Linked DNA regions of Lepisosteus oculatus. The protein of the gene in region 2 purifies or fractionates together with the protein of the main gene of each other region. This does not show direct contact. Links are inferred from orthologs where the notes say so. Each region holds a gene or a part of one and is shown on either strand. Other genes may lie near its edges.

The links.
Region 1: the proteins of map3k2 (region 2) and traf7 purify together in Homo sapiens (affinity purification with mass spectrometry; 3 studies listed by BioGRID and IntAct, with this or other methods). This does not show direct contact. The link is inferred for Lepisosteus oculatus from reciprocal best matches to the Homo sapiens genes MAP3K2 and TRAF7.

The regions. Positions count from the first base shown.
Region 1 is NC_090714.1:12,211,209-12,223,985, forward strand, and holds the start of traf7 (E3 ubiquitin-protein ligase TRAF7), read left to right. Parts: upstream 1-6,034; 5' UTR 6,035-6,116; intron 6,117-6,129; exon of another isoform or gene 6,130-6,528; intron 6,529-8,247; exon of another isoform or gene 8,248-8,436; intron 8,437-10,955; 5' UTR 10,956-10,992; coding exon 10,993-11,085; intron 11,086-11,494; coding exon 11,495-11,555; intron 11,556-12,125; coding exon 12,126-12,217; intron 12,218-12,777. UniProt on the Homo sapiens protein: E3 ubiquitin and SUMO-protein ligase that plays a role in different biological processes such as innate immunity, inflammation or apoptosis. Potentiates MAP3K3-mediated activation of JUN/AP1 and DDIT3 transcriptional regulators.
Region 2 is NC_090707.1:32,274,984-32,287,740, reverse strand, and holds the start of map3k2 (mitogen-activated protein kinase kinase kinase 2), read left to right. Parts: upstream 1-6,979; 5' UTR 6,980-7,399; intron 7,400-9,948; 5' UTR 9,949-9,990; intron 9,991-12,048; 5' UTR 12,049-12,066; coding exon 12,067-12,121; intron 12,122-12,757. Other genes in the region: ercc3 (general transcription and DNA repair factor IIH helicase/translocase subunit XPB), read right to left, coding at 4,567-4,594. UniProt on the Homo sapiens protein: Component of a protein kinase signal transduction cascade. Regulates the JNK and ERK5 pathways by phosphorylating and activating MAP2K5 and MAP2K7. Plays a role in caveolae kiss-and-run dynamics.

The DNA.
Region 1 (12,777 bases), on a different chromosome or scaffold from region 2:
TGACATACAAGTGGCTGAGCGCTCGGCAGTGCCCTGCGCCGGAGAGCACTCTACACAATGGGAGTGCGTTTGAGTGGTCGGGCTACATTGTGCTGTAGACGGGCCCGGAGAACAATTATCTTCAGTACACACGCTGCATGATAGGAGATGGCAGGCCTCCCTCTAATCTCAGAGTGGTTTAGAATCCATGTCATAAACGATTACACATGCTCGGTTAGAGACTGAGGGTGCGTATATACGCTATGTAGGAAGAGTTCAGTCTTAGAGTAAGGACAAGTCCATTTCAAACTGTGATTCACGTGCACTGGAATTTGTTGTTGGTTTTTTTTTTCCCACAAATACGTTCACAGGATTTTGTGAGGATCACTCAGTCCCAGAGGGCTTCCTCAGCAGCTGCTCCGTTCCATTTCCTCACACGCCTCTCATGGGGCGGCGCGGGCTGCGCAGGGCGGGGCCCGTCTGCGCCTCTAGTTTTGGCGCGAGCAGATCACAGGCCCGCACGGGCCTTACAGTGCCCAGCGCAGAACAAAAAGCCCAAACATTTCTCTTCTCCCTCCCCCGCCTTCGCTTGTCCATTCATCTCCCCCAGCGCAGATCATTAATCCCCGACAAGGTCTCTTGTAGAAATTTAAAAGAATATTTTTTTTTTAAAAAAGGAAGGGCACCACGGATGACTTTTGGAGACCCGGTGTTTAAGAAAAATTCCATTTTTGGGCTGGTTATTGAACACGATTCCTCCTCCTTATTCTTTTCTCCTCTACAGGAGCTACACAGGAGGCCTTGTGGCCACAGCAGCTTAATGGTCTGGACAGGCCCCCCTTCCCCGCCTCACAATTGAGCTCAGCCCTACCGGCTGGCAGGAGAGCTTCACGCAGACCGTATGAAGCCCCGAGTCGCATGGAGGGCCTGGCTGCCGATAAAGAAGCGGCCGTTATGCGTTTGTCGAGATGCGTTCCCGCCCTCGGGCCAGAGGCCGCAGACAAAAGGCTCCCCCTGCCCGTGAATGGACAGCGGGCTTCGCTTGCTTTGGAGAAATCAGACAATGGCCCAGATGGAGGCTCCCAGCTACTCCTAATGGGTTCCACACAACCGGCCCATTTTCTGCGCGCATCGGAGAACTCTTGCGCTGCCCTGAAGCGGTCCACCCCGCGCTGGTAGAGCAGTTAATGGAAGCCGCCGCTCAGACACTCCTCGTCACGCCTGGGCACACCCTGTCCACTTACCAACAGTGTCCCCCCTCTCGGGGAAATCTTTCTTACGGGCCTTGTGCTGTCTCAGATCAGCCCTCATTTAAATGGATTAAAAACAAGCTTGATACAGTACATTTTCAGAACTGCCACAGTAGGATTGTGGGTACAGTGATGTTACATCGAAGACCAATCCATTGCAATTGTATTTGTACCGGAGAGTTTCTATAAAAAGCAGGAGAAAATGAAGTCGCCTGGTGCTCTCCTAGGTGGGTTACTCCCATGGATTCTCCCAAGCTTTCATCAGGGCCCAGTTCCTCCTGGGGCTTAATACCCCCCAGCCTTGCTTGGGCAAGGTTTCAGAGTGCTATGTGATCTGGTTTTCTGCCGGTGGGAGAAAGCCCAGAATAGCTGAAAAGCTTATGTTAGACCCTCACATGGGAGGTTACACACTTACGTCTTTAGAGGGGAGAGTGTGTGCTTTATTCTTCCCGGCTGCCCCTTTTTTAACATCTGTTCCCCTTTCAGAGTGTCAGCTTTCCCCTTTTGAAACATTTTGCACCAGAGTCCATTTGTCTCTCTTTCCTGTCCCAGCCCTGGGCCCAGTTTTCAAATCAAATCTCCATGATGGCCTACCCTCCAGCAGGCTACAGCCCAGCCCAGCTGCAGGGTCCCCACATGCTCTACTGGGAATGACTGTAACCAGTGCCGTCTCCATCTATTCACAGAGAGCTCTAGATTCCTGAGAAGGGCTTCAGCGCTAACAATACAGCAGGCATGAGTTTAAATGGGTGACGCACAGCTTTTATACGCTTTCCCCTCCACTGGGGAAAGAAAACATGGCATTGCACCATATTGTTTTAATTGCACAGCGAAGAAAAAAAAAAAAACAGCTGAGTGTTTAGACCTGAAACAGGAGCTTCAGGTTCTTAGGTTTAACGTAAAAATAAAACCCTTTTCATTTGGCCTCTGTAGCACAAATTTCAACATGTTGGGTACAGCAAGGTGGAAAGGCCTACACTGCCTCGGACGAGTGGGTTTTGTAGGCACTGTACCAACACCCCTATTTCTCCTCTGCAAGCTGTAGAGCTACAGTGGCCCATAGCAAAGTAAAGCACTCCCTCTTGTGGCGTTTTAGTGAAATTACAAGTGTTCTTTAGCCTAGCAAGAATTTCAGCACAGGTCACCCCTTAAAACTTCAGCTTTAATGGATAGACTAATGCATATTTAAATGACTTGGATCTGTTAGATTTCTTGGAAGCAGAATATTTGACCTAGTTTTACAATTTATTCTGATGAAAGTCATGGGACCGTAGCCTACACAGGTTTCCAATGCACAGCTGCAGGATGGAAGAATAAATTTTGAATAGCTCATCAACCTTAACTTTAGGCAGAAACCACAGCATCCTGTAACAATGAGGGAAGACTCCATGAATAGCACACAGCCACCTGATTGAGGTCAATACTGAATAGCATACACCTTTTCCTTTTCTGCACGCGAGTTCTTCAAAAAGATGACAAGGCAACACTTTGAAGAGAAGCAGCATAGCTCAAGAGCTCTTCCACTGTGGCAGAGAGAGACCTGCAAGCAGGAGTGGACCTCTGGATCAACAAGTGCAGGTTGAGCCTGCAGAGGCAGCTGGTACACAAACATGCAGCAGAAAGGAGAGGTAGGACTCGAGATCTTAAAGGCTTTATTAAAAACATTCAGCCAGTGCCTTTACACAGGAAGGCACATTAATTAGGATGTGCTTGTAATGCATTACATAGGTGTAGCTTCTCTAATTTTGCTTTACAGCTCTGCCTTTTTAAAATTTGTTCAATTCTCACACATCACAATTTGAAGGTAGAGTCTAGGAACAGGGGACTTTGAGTTAGGATTTACAACATGAAGGTTCTCCTCCCTCAATCACAACTGAGGCCACAAACAGAACAAGCAAGCTCCCGAGTCATCAAAATACATTTTATTGCAGTGGAATGGTCCCGAGAGAGAGTGTGTTGGGCCCCATCTTGACTAGTGGGGGCCAGGCCAGCTCTGCCCCTACAGCTGGAGAGGTCCACATCCCCCGTCACCTGCAAGACACCAAACCATCCATTAATGCCTCTTTCAACCACCCATGCAGTCACACAGCCAACTGAAGTTCACGTACTAAATTCTAGATCTGGAAGAACCAACCAGTTTGTTGGGACAGCTGCTGAAGTGCAGGAAATTGTAAAACTGTGCAATGATTGTTCAGACCACAGAAGAAGTCAGTGCTACTATAAAACTGAGTCAGCATACACGTTCAAGAACTCCATTTTCAGGACAACTCTAGGCAAGAAAATAACGAGGCCATCTCTTGGTCGTTACCTGAATGAGATTCTTGGATCAATTACTATTTCTTGAAAGAGGAGACGATACTGAGCTTTTAGGTCAGGTGCAAGGATCGACACCTGAATTTAGATTCAGGATATCCAGTTAAAATCCCAATCCTGGACCCAACACCTGAGCTCTTAACGAACACGGACTTAATGGGTTTTAATAGGAACGGAGAACTGATCATAATCAGTCAAAGAGCAACTGAAGAAATAACCTCCTAGGAGGTTATCTCCAACCTTCACGTAGAAAGACTTGGAAAGGATCTAAACAAGCTACTGGTTAGTTCACTTGAGGATTAATTTTGGTTTGAATGAGAACTAGAAGGTGTGAGGTGAGGTGGGGTCCCCCACCCCCAATGATTGAACACTGACTTCCTTACCTCTCTCTCTCCAGTCACCAGGCCTGCCAAGCTACCACGAGACCTCCCCCCCAACACCACGTTTCATGGGGAGGGTTGAAATGCCTGAAACAAAGACCAGCCATCCTTTTAGAATCACTGCGCAACCCAACCTCAATACTTATGCTACACAAGCTCCAGGATCAACGGATAAAAACCAGCTGCCTTCGAAAAGCTTCCCGTTTGTCACAGTGCTTCAGAACATGAGGTGAAATCAAGGACTGCTGGGCAGTATGTTCATTGGAAGTGTCAGAAATAAGAAATAATTCATCACGAACACTGTGCAGAGACCGGAAAGGGCGAGCAGCCGTTCAGTCAGATCGAGGGGAGATTATTTAAAAGTCGGACGGAAGGATAAACTCACCATTTTCAAATCTCTCGACGTCTGCTCTTCACCCAAGCCCGTCTCAAGGCACGCACGCGTCGTCTGGGGTGATCTGTTGAGCCAAGAAACGGAACGTTAACCATCCTTCCTCCCCCAACTCTGAAAGATCTTTCCTGCTCAGGTCATCACAGAGGTCCTGGTTAGCCATCATGTCCCGAGTAGGGCATCATGGAAACATTTCACAAACCTGACCTGCAGTGACCACAGTGCTTCAGAACATGGATTGAAATCAGAGGCCACAGGGTGGCCTGCTCATTGGAAGTGTCAGAAATGGAAAAATCATTCATCATGAACACTGTGCAGAGACGGGGAGCCCTTGAACCGACAGTTCCACCTAGATTTCGATTAGGGGCCAATTTGAATTCTGCAATTGCAATCAAAAACCAGCCCATTTTCGCGCAGGTGACTCACCATTTCAAGTCACTCGATTGCCTGCGGATACACCCCCGCCACTCCACTCCACTCGGATCCGTCCCCACAACCTCTCGGGACATGCTGTTGCGACGTCGCCATCTTGAATTTCTCCACGGCGATCGGCAGCACGTCACCACGTGTCACTAAAACAAAAAGTAAAATATACAGCCGGTTTCTTAAACAATCTCAGCGCAACCTCCCATGCAATCGCTTTCACATGAAACAAATACAGAGGCACAGCCTAGGCGAACAGGGGTGAAGCTTTTCAGTCGCTGAGAAGCTTCTACCGATAAAGGACACGCTTCTCACTTCACAAGCGAGTATATTACACGTGCATCCTACGTGCAGACGATCAGTCGAGTCCACAGTGTTTCAGAACATTTAGTGAAATCAAGGACTGTTCATCGGAAGTGTCAGAAATAAGAATAGATTCATCATTAACACTGAAGGAGACTCAGACTATTCTCATAAGAGAAGGACGCTAGTCTTGTAAAAATCCCGCATGAAACCCAACTCCAAGCGGGCCCGATGTAGGCCCGTAGCCGCATCTTGGGGTGCGCAGATGCGTCCATTTAAGTCTGCAAACTGGGCAGACCTTTGTACGTGGAGCTACACAAAGCCAAGCTGGGCCCACATGGCCTAGCCTAGGTCAATCCAGCACGCCTACGCTGAAAAACAGCAGCGCCCAATACATTCAGTACTTCGGCAAGCACTCGTAATGGACAGCTGGACTTCCCCGAGACAAGCCAGATTTAATAAAACTAATGCACGGAAATGCTGAGCTTTTACTAACACTAGCAACAACTAAAACAAACCACCACTCACCTCCACCGAGCGAAAAGAGAGGCTCAATAGCACCGCGAAATGAATTTATGGGGTGAAGGTCTGGCTCCGGCCTGAATTCACACTTCTTATTGGATAGTCAATGCAAAAATAGCCGTTTCTTATGCGAAGGAACCAATCGCCTCTGAATTCTAAAGCAACACTCCTTTTCCGCTGGAAGAAGGGGAAGCTTCCTATTGGCTATTTAAAATGTATTTGGTCACGAATCAAATGTGAGTTTTAGCGTGAGAGGGAAACTGACTTGAAGGACGTCCAACGGTAGATAAAAGTAGTACAATAGACTGATGGAGCTATAGCCAATGAGCATTCAGCTGTGGGCGGAGCGTGGATGGGAGGGCGGTGTCGAAAAGAATTGTGGGGTCTGTAGTGCTCACTTGATCGGGGATTGATTTGGAATCGAAGGCCCCAGCTGAATAAATGAACTACAAGCCCCACAATGCCCGGTAAACAGTTCACTTCCTCAAAAATCTGGCTGCTGTCAGGGAAGAAGATGTGGACTATAAGAGCAGGCTGAGTGCTTTTGCATCATTGGTAAGAGGTTTGAGTTCGTTATACACAGGTTTTCCATCGCGTAGTTCGACCAAAACTGTTTTGCTAGCCCTTAGGTTCGGGTGTTTGCGGCTGACACCATCGTAACACGGAATCTCTCTCTCCTAATTCTAGACCAGAAATAGCCCTAACGAGTCACAGCTTATTGAGAGTACGACAGCGATCCATGTGCCGAGAGACGAGAACAAATGTCTAATTAAAATCTGGATACAACTGCAAGACTGCTATGAATTTTTGACTCTCCTAGACATCTGTTTCCGTTTCTTTAAAAGCAATCGTAACACAGCTGGCTAACGCCATACGTGTCTTGGCGACACAACGATTATCTTGCGAACCAATGGGCTGATGTGGAGAGCGTCCGTAAAAAAACATTTGATGAAGTGTTCCTGGCAAGGTAGGAGAGTTTCCACCGAGCCTGCCGCCGGCTCAGCAGGGGCTTCATTTGTTTAGTGTGCGATCCGTCGCGCTGGCTGATTCAGTGAATTCATAAGCGAAAAGCGCCAGTACACGTCGTCACCGAGGGAAGGAGATGCACCACGCATCGGGCGCTGTGTCTGGGAAGATCTCGCTGAGAGCCAGCGAGCCGTCTGGTGTCACAAAGTGTCGACGCGCATTCCCGTCTGAGGTGCGATCAGCTGTGTTCGTGCGAGACTGGACGGGCTCGGGGTCTGTGATGCTTTCTGAGGTGTCCTCTCGTTTCTTTGTGCTCTGTATCTTTCGGTTTAGTGATGAAAGGTTTGAGACGGCGACGTTCCCCGAAGGGGGGGGGCATGTGGGGAGCTGAGATCCCCGTGATATTTGTGGGGTCTCCTTCCGCTTGCACTGGAAGAGTGGGGCTCGGTCGATTTCAACAGTGAAACGAAGCTCACATTTCAGACTGTCGGTGGCAGCAGATCCATACTATAAACTCTCTGTTCGTGTTCATAGACCCGTTAATAGAAGTATCTTAAGGGATAAACCCTTCCATTTATATAGCGCCTTTCTAGACACTCCCCTCAAAGCGCTTGACAGATCATGGGGACTCCCCTCCAGTGTGCAGCCCCAGCTGGATGATGCGACGGCAGCCATAGTGCACCAATACGCTCCCCACAGACCAGCTCTCAGTGGGGAGGAGAACGGAGTGATGAAGCCCAACATGTATGCACCCGTGTTTCAGATTGTTGTGTACAGGCTGTTCAAATGACACAGGCGTCATATCCGATTCATTGCTCCAGCTCTCAGTGTCACGTTAGTAACGCATTCTCCCTTAAAACTAGTACGTCGAGTTTGATTGAAGAGATGAAGTCTTCACTTTGCTGGCTACGCGAATGAATTAAGTATCGCATTGGGGGCACGTGGTGGTACTATCGTTTCTGTTGTTGTCCTTGTACCCACCTGTTCTTGAAATCGTGAAACGTCGAAGTCTCTGCAGTTCCTGGAGTGCGAGTCTGGAAAAAGCCACAGACGTCTGAATCTGACCCGAAGTGGTACGGGCGAGGAGCACGCTGTATCAGATATACAGTGACACGCTGAATGAAAAATGTTAAATTTGCAGCGACTGTACTCGTTATACAGAGAAAGTGCGAAATCGTTATAGAGAACGGATGCAGATGTAATGTAATAATTGTTGACCTTTGAAACCATTCGCATTAATGAGCTCTCAGCTATGGTTATGAATGTAATTATTTACTTAGCAGGCGGTGTACCAACACATGCAATTGTGTTCATATCAAAGTGAGTTGCTGCTGTTGCACTCGGAACAAGTAAAGAACACAATGCTTTTGTGTGGCGCAAGTAGAGGCCGTTTAATTTGTAGCCTCGTGTCGATTTTTGGAAGGAAAAACAGATTGATGTCAATCAGTAAGACGGCTACGGTCACTTAAACGTGTTTGTGAACTCGTCTCGGAAATTATACAGCTCCGGATTTTTTTTTAGCATTCGGATATGGACTATGATACGGCGTAGGCGGCTCTATTCATTACTGTTGTGAAATCTAAAAAAAAAAGTGCTGGTAAGGGACACTGACGTCACTTTGGAATAGTACAGTAGTAAGCGGAGAGTGGGCAGCCTGTGTTCCGATTGGCCGAGGCGCCGCCTCATTAGCATACAGGCAGTCCCGTCGCGTGCCTTTCTGTTTACATCACCGTGCAGAGCAGCACTGGCAGACGGGTCTCAGCGTGCTTTGAGGACTGTAATCGGATTAATTGAACAACTTTTGTTTCATTCATTACCGTTATGGTACAGAAATGTGCACTAGACTTCAACGCAAGGCTGTAGGTTTACAGTCTTTGTGAGTGAATTAAAGGTAACTGTCTCCCAACAGGTAAACAGCCGGACCGCAGCGTTGTCTTCTGACGTTGTGCATTTAGCTGTGTGATCGGGGTTTTATTCGGGCATTTCATCGCTCGCAAACAGTAACTTTCTGGAATTTTTGTTTAGCGCATTTAATCAACTAAAACGTTTTCAATTATTTTTCCCTCTAAGGTTTCGTTTGGTATGAGTCACATTTTCCAAAATCAGGTTGGCTGACTTTGAGTTGCCTTTTTTTTTTGCAGGGGGAGGTGGTCCCGGACCTTCTCTCACTTCTCTCTTTTTAATCGAGCCATCGATTTCATTCAGCCCGGTTTTGTTTTTAACGCAGTTACGGAATTCAGTAGTGCGCAGTTTTTCTTGAGCTCCGAGCTCTCCTTGTTATTGGTGGTAGCTAGCGCTGACAGGGTTATCTTGAAGTGCTTTTGTTTTGCTCCCTCTAGAAGTAATATTCTTAAACAGACCCGATTGTATCTCCAGATTTCAATTTGTAGTCGATAACCCTTTACCGCGGGATTACAAATGGATTATGTCATCTCTCCTAATCGATTTCTGCAAGATTCATCATAAACACTGGATTGACTTAACATTGTGCTATGATCGCATCCTTGTCGCCAATAATTATTGCCGTAAATAATATTTTGATGTATGTAGCCGCCGATGTTTATCCAAGGCAACTTGAGTTCAGTATATTAGTCTTTTAAACTAGTTAGTAACTGTCAGAAGTCGTTTAAGGCTTTATAGAGCAGGATGGTTTAGAATTTCTTTTCCTACTTTGGAACATGGTCTTAGTTGTTTGGAACATATGTTGTGACCATCATTGATGACTATTTTCCTTCTTCGCTGTTCAAAAGTATGGCGTCTAATTTTCGGAAGTGTTTACCTGCGAGGCATTTTCCCAGGAACTTGATGGTAATGTTTCTGCAGCGCAGGATACTGAAACCTCAAATTCCAGTGCCACATTTTACTGTTAATTCTTCATCTTACATTTGTACACAGCATGTGGAAAGTAGGACATTTCATAGTCCCTTGAGTCTGAGGTGAAGACCATGTCAGTTTGAGGTCAATAATGAGGGATAGCTTTCTTCATAGCTACTAGCCCACACAGCCTCCAGCTCTAGTTGTTGGAAGACGTGATTTTGAGGAAAAATTGAGTAAAGTAAAAGGAGAGATTCTTTTAGAGGTTGTCCACCTTCTAGGGAGATGGGGGCTACCTGTGTACTTGTGATAATTAAGTTGCAGATACAGTGCTTTCTGTCTCATATCAGCACGGGCAGCCCTCTTGTGTGATGCACAGTATCGCAGGTACAGTGTGGGATCAGGCCATTGTCAGCAACCGGATAGCTGTTTTTCCAACCAGGAATAGAAATTAGTAACAGAAGGAAAATGGCAAGGGACTCCTTGAGTGAATTACTGTGAAACAGACGGTGGTTTGCAACCTGTTATTTGGGGATCTGTAGTGTATAATCTCCACCATGGCTGGAGAGCATTAATTGTAGGTTGGATTTTGCTACTGCAAAGCCAGCTGACTCTCCACTCACCACTGACTGTTCAGCGAAGTTTCACAGGGCCATTTCTTTTGTGTCCTTCTGGTTTCAGAAATGGGAAAAAAAAATCCTGTAGTTCCAGCCCTGCCCCCCTAATCAGGCCTCCCACTGCTTAGGTCAACAGTAACTGGTGCTTTAGTTCTGGGTGGGTTCTGTTGTGCCCAGTGTGCCGTACAGGTGTCCTTTTTCTGTAGTCTCTGAGCCCTGCCCAACTTCTCCGTTTGTCTGTGTCTTTGCCCTTTTGTTCCTGCTCAGACTGTTGCAGCGCTGGTGGTTAGACGCGTGCTCATTTTTTTCGGTTTACTGTCACGGTTGAGACTGTGGGGGGGGTGAGGAACGCAGAACAAAAAGGATGGGTTCTGAAGTTTTCCATACTCAAGGAATGGTCTTTCGGGTAGGCTGCAACATAAGCTCAGTTTGCAAACAAAAACATGGCCCCCAAAGATATGTGAAGTTCCTGTTTTAGTAAAAAGAAGTAATTAACTATCATAACAGATGTTTTGGCACTCTTGCTGGAAAGAAAACAAAAATCTTGGCCACAGAGCAGAGTTTCCATTTAGCTGTCAGCCTGGGGTTACAGTGGTCTCTGGAGTTATGGAGTGCCAGAGTGCGGTAGCCAATGGGCAGCCGGCGTCCTGAGTGCGGTAGCCAATGGGCAGCCGGCGCCCTGAGTGCGGTAGCCAATGGGCAGCCGGCGCCCTGAGTGCGGTAGCCAATGGGCAGCCGGCGCCCTGAGTGCGGTAGCCAATGGGCAGCCGGCGTCCTGAGTGCGGTAGCCAATGGGCAGCCGGCGCCCTGAGTGCGGTAGCCAATGGGCAGCCGGCGCCCTGAGTGCGGTAGCCAATGGGCAGCCGGCGTCCTGAGTGCGGTAGCCAATGGGCAGCCGGCGTCCTGAGTGCGGTAGCCAATCTCGGGCTACAGTGACAAACGAAAGGGGAGACAAGATCGCTGATGGGCTGACAGTGTGGTTTTTTTTGCCTCTCAGGGTGCAACTGTCAGGTCCAGGGAGGCTGTGCTGGACTATGAGCTCCAGTAAGACTCTGCGCTACAACCGTTTTTCTGGAGGTGCTGCAGCAGTCGTGGCCAGTGTCCCACCTGCCGACACTGCAAACACGGTAAGGAGGGCCTTCTGCCAGGGCTGGGGAGGGGGACAGTGGCCGAATTTAAGAGCAGACTTAAAACAAAGGTATCCTCTGGCGTTTTTTTGTCTAACCTATTTTAGGATAGTCGATTTTAGGATAATTCAGCAATAAATGAATACCACCTTTGAAGCTGATGTATTTCACTGTTTTTTGGACACATATTACATATTGTTACAGCAGTAATTCTTTGAAAGTAGATTGGGAGACATTTAAGTCTTGGGCAGTTAAATATTTGAAGATTTCCGGGCACATCTGCAGATCTTCCTGTTTGCAAGCAGGAGGGACATGTGCACTGTGGTGCCATGTGGTCTCTAAGGGATTCATCTTCCTCACTGCCTGACGCAACAGCAGCATCAAACCTTTTTTTTTTTTCTCTTTATAGCAGACTAGGATGGAGACCACCTTTGGACCTGCATATGCAACAGTCACCACTATTACGAAAGGTTAGTCTGATTCTCTGTGCGCTTGCCTCATGCTGCATTTATTGCTGCAGTCTTTAATTTCGAGACAGGGCCTGAATTCCCTCAATTCTAACCCACCAGCAGACTCCAGACCTGTCGCTTGATAGTGTTTCCACTGGGCTGGCGCAAGGAGCTCTTCTGATGGGTGCACTGGCAACATTATTCAGAATATTTTTGTAAAAATATGACGTTTGAAGAGGATTATGTTTGATCTGAGTCTTTTTTTTTTTTGTGCTGGTTACGGTCTGTTCTGTAGTCCCTACGGGCCAGGTCGTGGATATATCCTGCCTTTTTATCCGGGTGCCCTCACAGTCGCTTGACATTGTCCTGAATGGACTGTCGATCAGTGTGTCTTTCTGGAGCTGATCATCAGTAGCAGAGCCTCACAGTCCAGGAGCCCAGAGGCCTACAGGTTGAGGGCCCTGCGCTCGATCATTTGCTTTTTGTTTTATACGACCTCAGATCGCTGGAAAGGCTTTCTGTGCCTCTTCTGGACCGCCGGGTGGCTGCACCTCTCTTGATTCTGCCATCTGTTTGTGTGTGCTTTCCCAGCTGAAGGATCCACCAATTACAAGCAACATCGGCGGACTCCCTCCTCCTCCAGCAGCATGACCTACTCCCCCCGGGACGAGGACGACGGCATGGTCAGTGCCCCCGCCACCTCCGTCTGCACCTGCAGGGGCTACCCCAGGGGGGTGACCCCAGTACGGAAGTGCCGGAGAGCCCCCTGGTTGTGGGGCATTGCAGCGCGCGGCACTTAGTGGCTCTGCTTTGGCCGCTCTCATCGGTATCGCCAAGTAAAGCTCGTTGGGTGGAATCGGATTGGCACAGGGCCCGCATGACGTGTGATCATTTTCTTAATCCTTTTGGGTCTGTTCGAAGGCGGAGTGCTACCATCCAGGTCCATTGCAGAGAGAAACTCGCCAGTGTGACATGTGAAACATCTTGCCTCCTGTATTGTACAAGTGCAGTCCGTGGCACGCTTGTATCGGAGCACAGCAAAAGGCCGTTGAGACCAGTTTGCAGGGCAACAAAGACACACTGAAACCGATCAGCCTCGCTCGCCAGCCGAACGCGTGTTAAGCTAGACGTCCTGGACAGATTTGCCACAGTGCTTTCTTCTAAGGGCCAGGTTATAGTAGGACGCTCCGACAATAATGCCGGAGAACGTAGCGTCCGTGTAGGGGATACCGACAGCCGCCTC
Region 2 (12,757 bases):
TTACTGCCCAAATAGGTCAGTTGATGATGCCATATTTTTAGCACTAGATACTGCCCTAGAACATTTAGACAGGTGAGGCAGCTATGTAAGAATGCCGTTTATATATTACAGCTCGGTGTTTAACACAATTGTTCTCACCAAGCTGGTCCCAAAACTTAGGAATCTGGGCTTATGACACTTTACTTATAACTGGATAGTAGATCTCCTGAAGGCCAGATCTCAACAATATCAACTGGCAACAATATCTCCCCTACAGTGAATCTAAACACTGGAGCTCCACAAAGCTGCTGTCTCAGCCCTAGGCCATACTCCTTGTTCACCTACAATTGTACAGACACCTACAGCAGCAAACACATAATTAAGTTTGCAGATGACACCACTGTTATTGGGGGCTGATCAACAACAACGACGAGTGCGCATACAGGAGTGAGGTGGGGCATCTTACAAGATGGTGCCTGGACAACAATCTGGCCCTGACTGTCAACAAGACAAAAGAACTCATTGTGGACTTCAGGAGACCCAGAGGGAGTCGTGCCCCAGTTGGCATCAATGGCTCACCAGTGGAAACTGTCAACTGCTTCAGGTTCCTCGGCCTGCAGATCTTCACCGACTTGGCTTGGTCTTGCAACACTGTAGCCAGTCTGGAAAAGGCACAACAGCACTTCTTGCAGGGCCTAAAGAAATACCGTATGGGGATGCAGTTCCTCATGAACTTTTACCGCACCATAGAAAGTGTCCCCACTAGTGGCATCACTGTGTGCTACAGCAATACTACAGCGCATGACAGAGATAATAATAATAATTGTTTACACTTATACAGCGCTTTTCTGGACACTCCACTCAAAGCGCTTTACAGGTAATGGGGACTCCCCTCCACCATCACCAATGTGCAGCCCCCACCTGGATGATGCGACGGCAGCCATAGTACGCCAGAACGCTCAGCACACATCAGCTATCAGTGGGGAGGAGAGCGGAGTAATGTAGCAAATCATAGATGGGGAGTATTAGGAGGCCATGAATTGATAAGGGCCAATGGGAAATTTGGCCAGAATGCCAGGGTTACACCCCTACTCTTTGCGAGAAACGCACTGGGATTTTTAATGACCACAGAGAGTCAGGACCTCAGTTTTACATCTCATCCGAAGGACGGCACCTGTTTACAGTATAGTGTCCCCATCACTATACTGGGGCATTAGGACCCACATGGGCCGCAGGGTGAGTGCCCCCTGCTGGCCCCACTAACACCTCTTCCAGCAGCAACCTTAGTTTTTCCCAGGAGGTCTCCCATCCAGGTACTGACCAGGCTCACACCCACTGAACTTCAGTGGGCTGCCAGTTGTGAGTTGCAGGGTGATATGGCTGCTGGAGATGTGATACAAAGTGTTTCGGCAACGGCACCAAGGATTATCGGATCTGATTTACCATCAATCATTGAGATTCACACCATCCGCTGTCAGAATAAAGCCCAAAACACCCTTCAGGATCCCAGCCATACCGGCCACAAATTGTTCACAAAGTAGTACCGCAATATTAAAGCGCAGACCACTAGACTTAAGAACAGTTTCCATCTTACTGCAATGCCCATCCTCCACAGCTTACTGCACTGCCTCAGACTCATAGTGCATATCTGCGCACTGCACTATTTGCATGGTCCACCATGTTTATTTTTCCCGCACTACGCCAGATTTATTGTCCCCCAACACATTTACTCTTCCTGTTGTTATTACTTACGTGTGAAATGTATTGTCTACATTCTAAGGCGTTGTCTATTGTACTGTGCACGTCCTGAGAACTCAGCACGAATAAGAATTTCAATGTACATATGTCAATAAACTCCTCTACATCAGCTTGTCTGAAAATTCAGGTTGTCCAGTAAGCGGTACTTACTGGACATTTGTTCTTAGCAAAACGGGGCCTGCAACACAACCTGGCCCTACACAACAAATGTTTGGCCTATTAATACGAGGCCTGAACTGCAAACAGCTACTGTTCACAACCCTGTTAATCCTACAATACTTCACTTCAGCATTTCATGACACTGGGACTCTCCTGGAAGTCTTGAAGCTTTCTAGCTACTGTTATTATTTTACTAACCGGACACCAGATGATAATCTTCATCAGTGCTGACAGTAATTCATCAGAAACATATCAATATAGGTAACAACTTGTTCAAAAATATGACATCCATATGAGGTTGAAACCATCTCGTAACTTGATCTCAACAGATCTCAGAAGCAATGCAAGTCTAGACATGGTCATTAAGATCGTTAAGGAAAACTTGGTTGCTGCTTGAAGTGGTGCTGTGGCCCAGCATGTAGCACTATTTGCTCTGGACCAGAACTTTCAACTATAGTATTTGACAACGGACACTGTCCTGTAGATAGCTGCAGTCATTTGGGTAAGACCTAAAATTATGGTCTTGACTAACATCTGACTGTTAAAATTCCCATGGCAAAAGTAGGGGTATTAATCCTGGTGCCGTGGCTAATTCCTGAATTAATCTGATGTGTAGGGAGAATGCTGTCTGACACTTATCAACCAGGTGGGTGCAGCATTACAGTACTTATAATAACAAACTTTATTTATAGAGCACCTTTCATACAAATAGCAGCTCAAAGTGCTTTACAAACCCAGCGCAAAAATAAAATCTTCAAATTCAGAGACATACTTTCAGTTGTAAAGGAAAACACAGTCATACAGTAAAGCAACATATTTGTCAATTTTATGCTTGAAAATATATAAAACAGAAATTAGGAAAGTTGTCATAAACAAAGAACAATAAAAGAGAAATAAAAAAAGAGAAAGAGAAAGAACAAAGAACCATTTGAACTAAAAGCTAAATTAAAAAGATAATAACAAACCACAAGTTCCCTTAGTGCTGTAACATGTAAATGGGCACATTAAAGTAGTTTAAGTAGGAATATGTTTTAGGATTATTGCTCTTGCAGATTTGTATCAACAGTTTAGATTCGGGTATAGTTAAGTTCATCCTTCGGATGAGACGTAAAACTGAGGACCTGACTCACTGTGGTCATTAAAAATCCCAGGGCGTTTCTCGAAAAGAGTAGGGGTGTAACCTCGGCGTCCTGGCCAAATTTCCCCTTGGCCCTTACCAATCATGGCCTCCTAATAATCTCCATCTATGAATTGGCTTCATCACTCTGTTCTCCTCCCCACTAATAGCTGATGTGTAGTGAATGTTCTGGCGCACTATGGCTGCCGTCGCATCATCCAGGTGGATACTGCACATTGGTGGTGGTGGAGGGGAGTCCCCATTACCTGTAAAGCGCTTTGAGTGGAGTGTCCAGATTAAAGCGCTATATAACTTTAAGCAATTATTAATTACAGTGAACTGTATCAGGACAAAATGTGGAGAAGGGTTCTGGGTACAAGGACTTCTCGGGTAGAATTAAAAAAAACTGAAAAATTGGAATTAAAAAAATTCAAAAATTCAAAATTGAGGCACGTAACATAATGGAATGGGTTAAATGAAAGCCCTCCTAAAGAAGGTTTTGAGTCTAGGTTTGAAAGATTTCAAGGAAAGTGACCCTCTGATATCCTTAGGGTAGAGTTCCAGAGCTCTGGGGCATAACAGGAGAAGGTCGTGTCACCCACAGAGTGTAGACGGGCTTGGGGGACAGATAGGAGACCAGAATTAGACAAAAGAAGGTTTGCAAGGTGGGGGTAGGAACACAGTAAGTCAGACAGGTATTGAGGTGCCAAGCCATGCATTCTGAATTTGAAATGAAACCTGACTGGATGCCAGTGCGGGTACTCCAGGACAGGAGTAATGTGATCACTTGCACACGACCTGGTCAGGATTCTGGCTGCCGAGCCCTGTCTCACCTGCACTGTCATTGCGGTCAGGGGTTAGGTCATGCTCGTCCACGGGTTTCTTAAAAACAGAGCAAAAACCTTCGGCAGCATTGATATCGGCAAACGTCTGTCCGCCGGGCACATCTCAAACCTAGACAGCCATCCCGAAGAGAAACTGCATTCAGCCGGCATCTTCAGCTTTTCAGGAAAGTCTCTCGCCTTCTCCCGCAGCACAGCCCCTGAGGTAGCAGGGCAAACTATTCGTGAAGCACCTAATCCACGTCCTCCAACTTAACCCGATGGAAGGTAAGCCTCCTCTCATCTGTCACGGGAGATCTCAGGCTTCACGAAAGACTCCCTTCGTTTTGATCAAAATCAGACGTACTCGGATCCGACCGCAAACTCGCCATAAAGCTCCTTCACCAAAACCTTCGTCTGGGGGTCGGATATGAGAAAAGATAGATGTCGATCAACTTGGCTCACTCGTAAAACAGTACGGATTGCACCGGGGAAACGTTCACTTAAGGGAGAATGAAGACCAACGACTGTCCTGGTCCTACTGTAGGTAGGCAAAACATCGCGTGCGTGCATGAAGCAAACTAGTTTATTTTTTATGCCTTGTTAACAGTATTTTTCCCCCGATTGCTACAGGTCATTGCTATGCGTCATTACCAGATCCGAGGGAGTTTATTGTACTACCAATAACAATGGTAACCAGAAGAGATAGCACCTTGAATGACAACAACTCACCTCGACCTCCCTTGTCCTTCTTCACCATAATGTTAGACTTACACAACTACAATGAATTAATTACGACGACTCGGCTTTCTTCATTTAAATTCTTGAAGACTTTTGCTGCCGATTTCTTACAGACGCCACACAACACATCCGACAACGGAGGCTGCCATATTTGTTAAATGAATTGCGCATGCTCGGTTAGTTCAAGTCCCAAGCAAATCCGGGAAATGACTGTAGGTCACATATGGGTTTGAAAACTGATTTGAAACTGTTTTTTAAAAAAGGAAACCTTCTAGTGGTTCTTGTCAACATTGTGGTATTTGAGGTGCTGGAATTAGTGTTTATACTATTATTAAGTTTTATTGCATCATCCCAAGTATTAAGTTTTTTTGCTACTGTCAATTAATAACTGGGGCATGCATACAGTAATATACATATTATTGTTAAAGCGACAGCACATTTTAAGGCATTACTGTTACTAAGGAATACCTAATTGCTGTTCTTATTCCGATACATTAACGTCAGCCATACGCCAAAATGGCGTGTTTTCAGCCATCGGTATTAAAGTAGACAGCCGATGATCGTCTCAATTCTGCATGGGCAGATATTATAGATTTTTGATGATGCAAGGTTTTCTGGTAAAATTACAAACTTGTTCTTTCATTTCGGAAATCAGCGGACCTAGACACTAACCAGAAATGTAGGAACTGCAGTTTTTTCCCCCCGCTGCGACAGTAAGTTTTTTTCGTCAAACTTACTTATTGAACATGAAATAATACAAAGGAGAAATGTGCATCCGAAAAAAGATGTGAACAAAAAACAACAACAACAACAACAACAACAACAACAACAACAACAACAACTTATACACTGCCCAAAGTAATTACAATCAGAAGTTAAAACACATCCGTTTTGCTTTTTGCCTAGTTATTTTCAGGTTTTTAATGGCGTCTAAGTAATACTGCATTTCTATGTTCATAAGCATTAAAGGGCAGAGTAGCATTAGACCATGTTAGTATATATTCTCTGCTACAGTACAAGGCAATGCTTTAAAGGAGGACATTTCTGGGGTCTTTCCTTCATTCTAGGACGTGATGTTCTTTTTCTACTGTTGCATTCAGAACTAAAATGGTAAAAACCGGACATTAATTTCAAATCATTCCGAATAATATCGTTTTAAAACAGGCAGAAATTTGACCTGGCAAAAAGGAAGATGTGCAGTTATTACAACTATTGAGCAGCAGATGCGTCACCTGCCTTGTAGCCTGATCTCAGAGCCGAGGTCTGTTGGGTAAGACCATCTTGCCCCTACAGTGATGTTGGTGGACCAGTAGGTGGTGCTCTTCCCTCTGGACCAGAATTTCCAAACCAATGCCCCCAGAATAGTGACTTGGGACACTGTGTACCACTGAATGAAGCATTAAACTAAGGTCCGGGCCTCTTGGTACTTATCCAAAGGGTAGGCGTCAGGGTTTAAAACCTGCTCTGGGTGTGTATGATCCAGCGAATTGGGTTTTTCATTCCTCCACTGAGACTTGAGTTAGGTACCCAGGTCTGCAATTATATATGTATACATAGCGAGAATTTGATTAGGATGCTGGGATTACACCCCTACTTTTTTTTTCTGAGAAGAGCTCTGACACTTTTAATGACTTTTTAATGACAGTTTTATGTCTAAATTGACGGATGGCACCTTTTGACAGTATAGCTTCCCAGTCACTACACAAGGGCATCAGGACCACACAGACCACAAGGTAAGTGCTCCCTTGGTCCCACTAACACCTCTTCCAGCAGCAACCTTAGTTTTTCCCAGGAAGTCTCCCATCCAGGTACTGGCCAGGCTCACACCTGCTGAGCTTCAGTGGATTGCCAGTGATGATTTATAACCTTGCAATTTCATTCCATCAATACCTCGACATGACATCTCTCTATACATACAGGTAATAATTACTATTATTTTAAGTAGTGCGAAGTATTTTAAGTATAATATGGTTCACAGATTATTTTTTCCTATTGATGTGATCTCTTATGGAAAAAAATTCTGCACCATTGAAACTACAATGTTAATACATCTTAAAATCGCGGTGGGTAAATTATTTTGTGAGTACCACTGGTTTTGTAGAATGTGATGAATTCGTAACTTTCCTAAGAGTGTAGAATAATTGAGGCTTATTAGCTGTAGATTTAGTTTGCGTTTCATATTCTGAGATCGTATATTGAATTAACATCCTATAGTGTAAAATAATACACACGGTACCAAAATCTAGTCTTATAATTAAACAATATACAGTAAATTACGCGAAAAGAACGTACAACTGTAAATACAACTAATACATTTTCCTAATACAGGTGCCATTTTGACAAAACGTATTTTCCTGAACCCCACATAATTTCAATGACGAAATCCAACTCGGAACACAAACTACCTCTGACATCACAAGATTTGTGCTGCAAATTCTTCAAACTCTTGTGTTGCTGTTACCTGGCGGCGAATTTGCTCAAGAACGTGCTATGTTGTGAGCATTTAAGAAATCAATTAAAAGAAAAGTTAAGGTGACCGTTAATGGAATAAAAAGCTCGTAATGTCGTTGCAGCGCTAACAATTTAGAAGGCTATCTTCCTCGGTGGGAAAAAAAAACGGTTTCATCACGGTTCTTACAGTAACAAGTAAATAGGAGGAAGCGCGGCCTGTTCCAAAAAGGAGGGGAGGCGCTTCAGCCTCGGACTCGAGTGGAGGTTAACACGGGACTCCTGAGCCCTCGGCGTCTGCGGACTCGCCTATCAGCGGGGCCCAGGCTGACCCAGCCGGTCCTGTGAATGAGGAAGTGGTACCACAGATCCCCAGGTAATAAAAAGGACTACATTGACTACCTTTTACTCCCTGTTTTAGATTTAATTCACTTCAATGTGAAATATGCGAGAGCCAATTTCGATATAAATGCTGGAACGTGGAGGAGAACTAAATAGAAGAAATTCGTGGTCTGTGAGCTTCACTGTAATTTAGTTACATTGCCAGAATGTCAAAACAGGGATTGCTGATTTTGTAAGTCAACTTGTGAACCAGTCCATTTGCTAAACGATACGATGATTGCTGGATCTATGTGAATCGTTTCGGAGAAATAAAGACTGCAATCGTAGTGAATCGTTAAGAGCAGTTACGGTTTAATTTGGAACAGTGTGATTGCAACTTAAGTGTTGTTGGCACATTACAATGGTTGCCGAAATGTTATTTCGCACCATCAGCTGTCGTTTTGACGTATCGCCTTACTGTAAAGTTGTCCGTAATTTTACCATTTACTCGACGTATTGCTGTCCCGTATTTTCAATATGTGCGAAACCTAACGTTTGGGAAATTAACATTGCGAAGTCACGTAGTGGCTCTGTGAAAATGCCTTTTTTTTTAATTCTAATGTTAATTGCATGAATTGGATGAAACGCAGCCCTTTGCAAAAAGCGTAAAACGCGCACTTCGCAGTTAAATCACAGTGTTTATTTAGTTGGCATGGCAAGGTCTAGGATAACAATTTGAAAGCTTAAAGTGAGAGGAAAATATTTTTTTAGTCGCACTCTTTTAAACTGTATCTACACACACATCTCAAAGAGCGAGAGTTTTCATGCTACGAGGAGGCTGTGAGCGAAGAGGAGTCAATTTGGCCCATCTAGGCCTAATTTTGTTTTTTAGTAGCTAATTAAGCCTAGGATTTTATCTAGCCCTTTCTTGACAGAAGGCAGGGTGTCAGCTTTGAGAACATGGCTGGACGGCCCGTTTCAGCCCCCCGCATCCCTTTGTGTAAAACACCACTGTGTGCCGGCTTTATCGATGCCTTTGACCATTTTGAATATCTGGATCAACCCAAATCCGAGTTGTTTAAGTTTGAACAGATTCAGTTCTTTAATCCTGTTGCTGTGTAAAACATTCTTCTGGGCCTAAGAAAATATCTGGCTGCACTTTGCTGGACTGATTCTAGAGCAGCAGTTTTGTTTTGTAGATGGATGACTACAATTGTACCCTATTGGCAGTGAGGTCTTGCTACCACATTGTACAATTTTAACGTTACAGCCCTTCGTTTATTTATATATGTAGGATTTGCTGTCTACATGTAACACTCTGCACATCTGCAATTGCACATTTTTCTGTCTAAGTCATTTTAAATGCATTTTAAATCTTAAACAGTGTTTGCTAATCCTGCATGTTCAGATGTTCAGTACCACCCGAGAACTGGACAGGTTTACAAATTACAGCAGAACCTAAATTGTTGATTTAAGTTAGCAACATCCTCTTAGTACTCCGCTAATATCACCCCAGTCTGAGCTTTTCCTCATTATTATCTTTACTGTTTCCCATCCTAAGAAACAGTTCTCAGTCAAAATGCATGCCTTTCCTTGAATGCTTACTGCAAGTTGAGAATGAGCCAATGTCAAAGTTGAGCACATGTCTTCTGAATATCTAAATATTCATATGTGGCCAGCAGCCATATCACCCTGCACCTCACAACTGGCAACCCACTGAAGCTCAGCAGGTGTGAGCCTGGTCAGTACCTGGATGGGAGACCTCCTGGGAAAAACTAAGGTTGCTGCTGGAAGAGGTGCTAGTGGGGCCAGCAGGGGACGCTCACCCTGCGGTCCGTGTGGGTCCTAATGCCCCAGTATAGTGACGGGGACACTATACTGTAAACAAGCACCGTCCTTCAGATGAGGTCCTGACTCTCTGTGGTCATTAAAAATCCCAGGGCGTTTCTCAAAAAGAGTAGGGGTGTAACCCCGGTGTCCTGGCCAAATTTCCCATTGGCCCTTACCAATCATGGCCTCCTAATAATCCCCATCTATGAATTGGCTTCATTACTCTGCTCTCCATCCCACTGATAGCTGGTGTGTGGTGAGCGTTCTGGCGCACTATGGTGGATGCTGCACATTGGTGGTGGTGGAGGGGAGTCCCCATTACTTGTAAAAGCGCTTTGAGTGGAGTGTTTTAGTCAATAGATTTTCACTTTTTAATGCACAAGTGAGAAAAAGCAGAGCTTCATGCACTCATGGATTAGAATATACTGTTTACCCTGTGACTATTTTGTAGCTGTTCTGAATGATTGGTTGCAAGACTATATGTTTGCTGTTTGAGACTTTACAAAACAAAGTGTGTGCTATATAAGTAAATCTCTTGCTATGTTCTGAATCGTTTCGAAGAAGCATTATGTAGCAAACACGTGCACATTGGACTGTTCGATTCTTTGTGGATTTAGATTATTGAAGCCAATTTAGAAGAGCAGAAAAAAAGATGAAGTTAATACAAAATTGTCACTGCTAAAAAAAGGAAACAGCTATGCGTTTGGCTTGTCAAAAATCTGAGCAAGTGTCATGAAGTATGCATACATCGGTCATCTTTTCTTTTCCCTTTAGACATTCCTGCATAATGTTGTGCCAAATAGTTTGTCTCTCCAGGTAAGATGCATCCATTTCCAACCGTTTTAAGGCCCAAACATTAAAACTAAAACATTCATTTGGATAAGAAAACATTTATTTCTTCACATGAGGAGGTGCTGCTGGCTTTTCTGGGTTAAAACGCAAGACACAAGTTAGCCCTGTCCTAATTTATCTGTCTCTCCAAATGACCTAACTTTGGATAACTTGTATGTTTCAGTAAAAACACAGTAGCCTATTGTCATGAATCGTCATTGCCTTTCAAAATAAGGTGGCTTCAGATCATTTAAAACCCTGTATATTTTAGTTCACAAGCAGTCAATAGGGATAGTCTATGCTTGAGGAAGAGCAATCTGAAGGGTAGGTGTAGATCTTCAGGATACTCGAACTCTTTCAATGAATTTACTATTTTAAATAGCTGAGAAGGTATTAAAGGTATTTGAGAATAACATTTTTAAGGTGCGGATTCATTGAGAATTTAAACTGTTTTATACTTGAATAACATAGACCTGGACTTTGACCCACATGGTTCCAAATGTAGACATGCAAAAGGCTTGCCATATGTTAAGCAAGTGAGTCGAACAAAAATGGAAGTAAAATGCATCTAAACCTGCCCTTGATTGTGTATTCCAGGCATAAGCTATTTTCTGATCAAATCCATCAGAACTCATTCTTTCTTTCATACCCGTTGTCTGCTGAGCACATACAACAACAGCAAAATGTCATTTAAATGTACAGTACTGTTTTTACATATGATACTGGAATAGTATACCCTATTAAGGGTAAAAGGTTAATTATTGGGTTAAAAGCTACCTAGGGAACGAAGTTTAACTAATAGGGTGGATTGAAAACTAGTTAACAAATAACAAACCACAAGTTCCCTTAGTGCTGTAACATGTAAATGGGCAGATGAAAGTAGTTTAAGTAGGAATATGTTCTAGGATTATTGCTCTTCCAGATTTGTATAAACAGTTTAGATTCTGGTATAGTTAAGTTCCCATCGGATGAGACATAAAACCGCTTCTCGAAAAGAGTAGGGGTGTAACCCCGGCGTCCTGGCCAAGTTTCCCCTTGGTCCTTACCAATCATGGCCTCCTAATAATACCCATCTATGAACTGGCTTCATTACTCTGCTCTCCTCCCCACTGATAGCTGGTTATTATTATTAATTAACAACATAATTACATTTGCAGAAGATAAATATTTTAAGTGGAGGGACAGCAGAAAGAGAATTCCAAAAAGACTTGGGTTTGCACTTGGCAAATGACATTTAACATTGGCAGGTACAAAGGACGTACATCACAATGGTGATTCTGAGCTGCTGAAAGTGATTGAGAGTGATTTTCATTCTTTTTTTATTAAATGTTTAGCAGTGTTTTGAAATAGCCTCCTATCAGAATGAATAGGTGTTTATCACAACATCAAAACGAAGTACCAGTTTTGCTGCTGCGCTGTGCAACACTGATTGGACACGGACCTGTGCAGAAAATCCACAACTTCATCAGAACTTACAAAGTGTTGCAAGCAGGAGGTTCAGTGCATTTAGATCAAGTGGGCATAGTGGTAAGCACTGCTGTCTCACCTGTCCTGGAGCCTATCTGCATGGAGTTTCCTTCAGGTGATCTTGTTTCCTCCCACAATCCAAGACCGTGCTGCTCGGTTAAATTGGCTTCTGGGAAAGTGGGCCCTGGTGTGTTTATGTCTGTGTTTGACTTGCAGCTGACTGTGCCATGACCTTGAAGGGGATGAAGTGGTTAGAAATTGGTTGAGTGGATGTTGTTAATAGCTTACATGATTCAAGGACCTGATCAAGATTTAAATAAGGTATTGTGTTAGCCTCCACAAAATAGCTGGGTCGCATGTTCTAGATTCTTACAAACACTTAAAAATATTGCCTCCTTACTTGTTAATGTCAGCCTACTTCCATTTGGGCCTCTTGGTTGAGGTAACATTCCTTAAAGCACGTAAATTAAAGAAATGCACTTTCAAATAGAAACTGTTTCGCTTGAGATGTTTGTACTTAATTTCTTAAAATTGGTTGAGTTTTTTTTAACTGACCTTCACTGCTCTGTTCTTCAGGAAGAAAAGAGACTGCTGATGGGAGAATCTTCTTTTCTTGAACCCTGGGTCCCTCAGCGTTCTGTCGTGATGGGTAAGAGGAAGACAGATTCTTGTAAACATTTGTTTCACATGAAATGACCTAATTACTTGCACTTTCTTGGCACAGAATAATCGGGAGGAAAAAAGTTACTGTTACGCTAAAAAAAAAAGTCACCTGGGAGACTAAATACTTGAAAGCAGTTGTTCATGTACAGGGTGACAAATCACAGAGCCTTTTTCAACAAGGACAAAAGCTCAGTTGTCTGTACTTGCAAGATAAGTAAATAGAATTGTTTCACTTAGTGGCACGTAAGGTTATCAGCATGAATAGTTGTGACAAGGGATGGTAGAAATCCATTTTCTGCTGTTCACCTGTTTGAACACTTTTTTGGGGTTTGATCTCTCCAAAGCCAGAATTTGAAGGAGAAGAACTGACTGGTAGACAAAAGTGCCCTGATGTTTTTCTGCCTGCATTCCTTTCCTCACTCATTGAGAACGCATCAACACATTATATTGTAAGGAAAACCAGGTTGCTGCTGCAAATTGTGTTAATGGAGGAGAAAGTGTCCCTCTTTCCTCTGGACCAGAATTTCCAAAGTCAGTGCTCCGATATGACCACCGAGGTCACTGTACTGTCCTCTGTACAGTGCTGTCCTTTGGATGAGATATAAAATGAAGTCTAGACTGT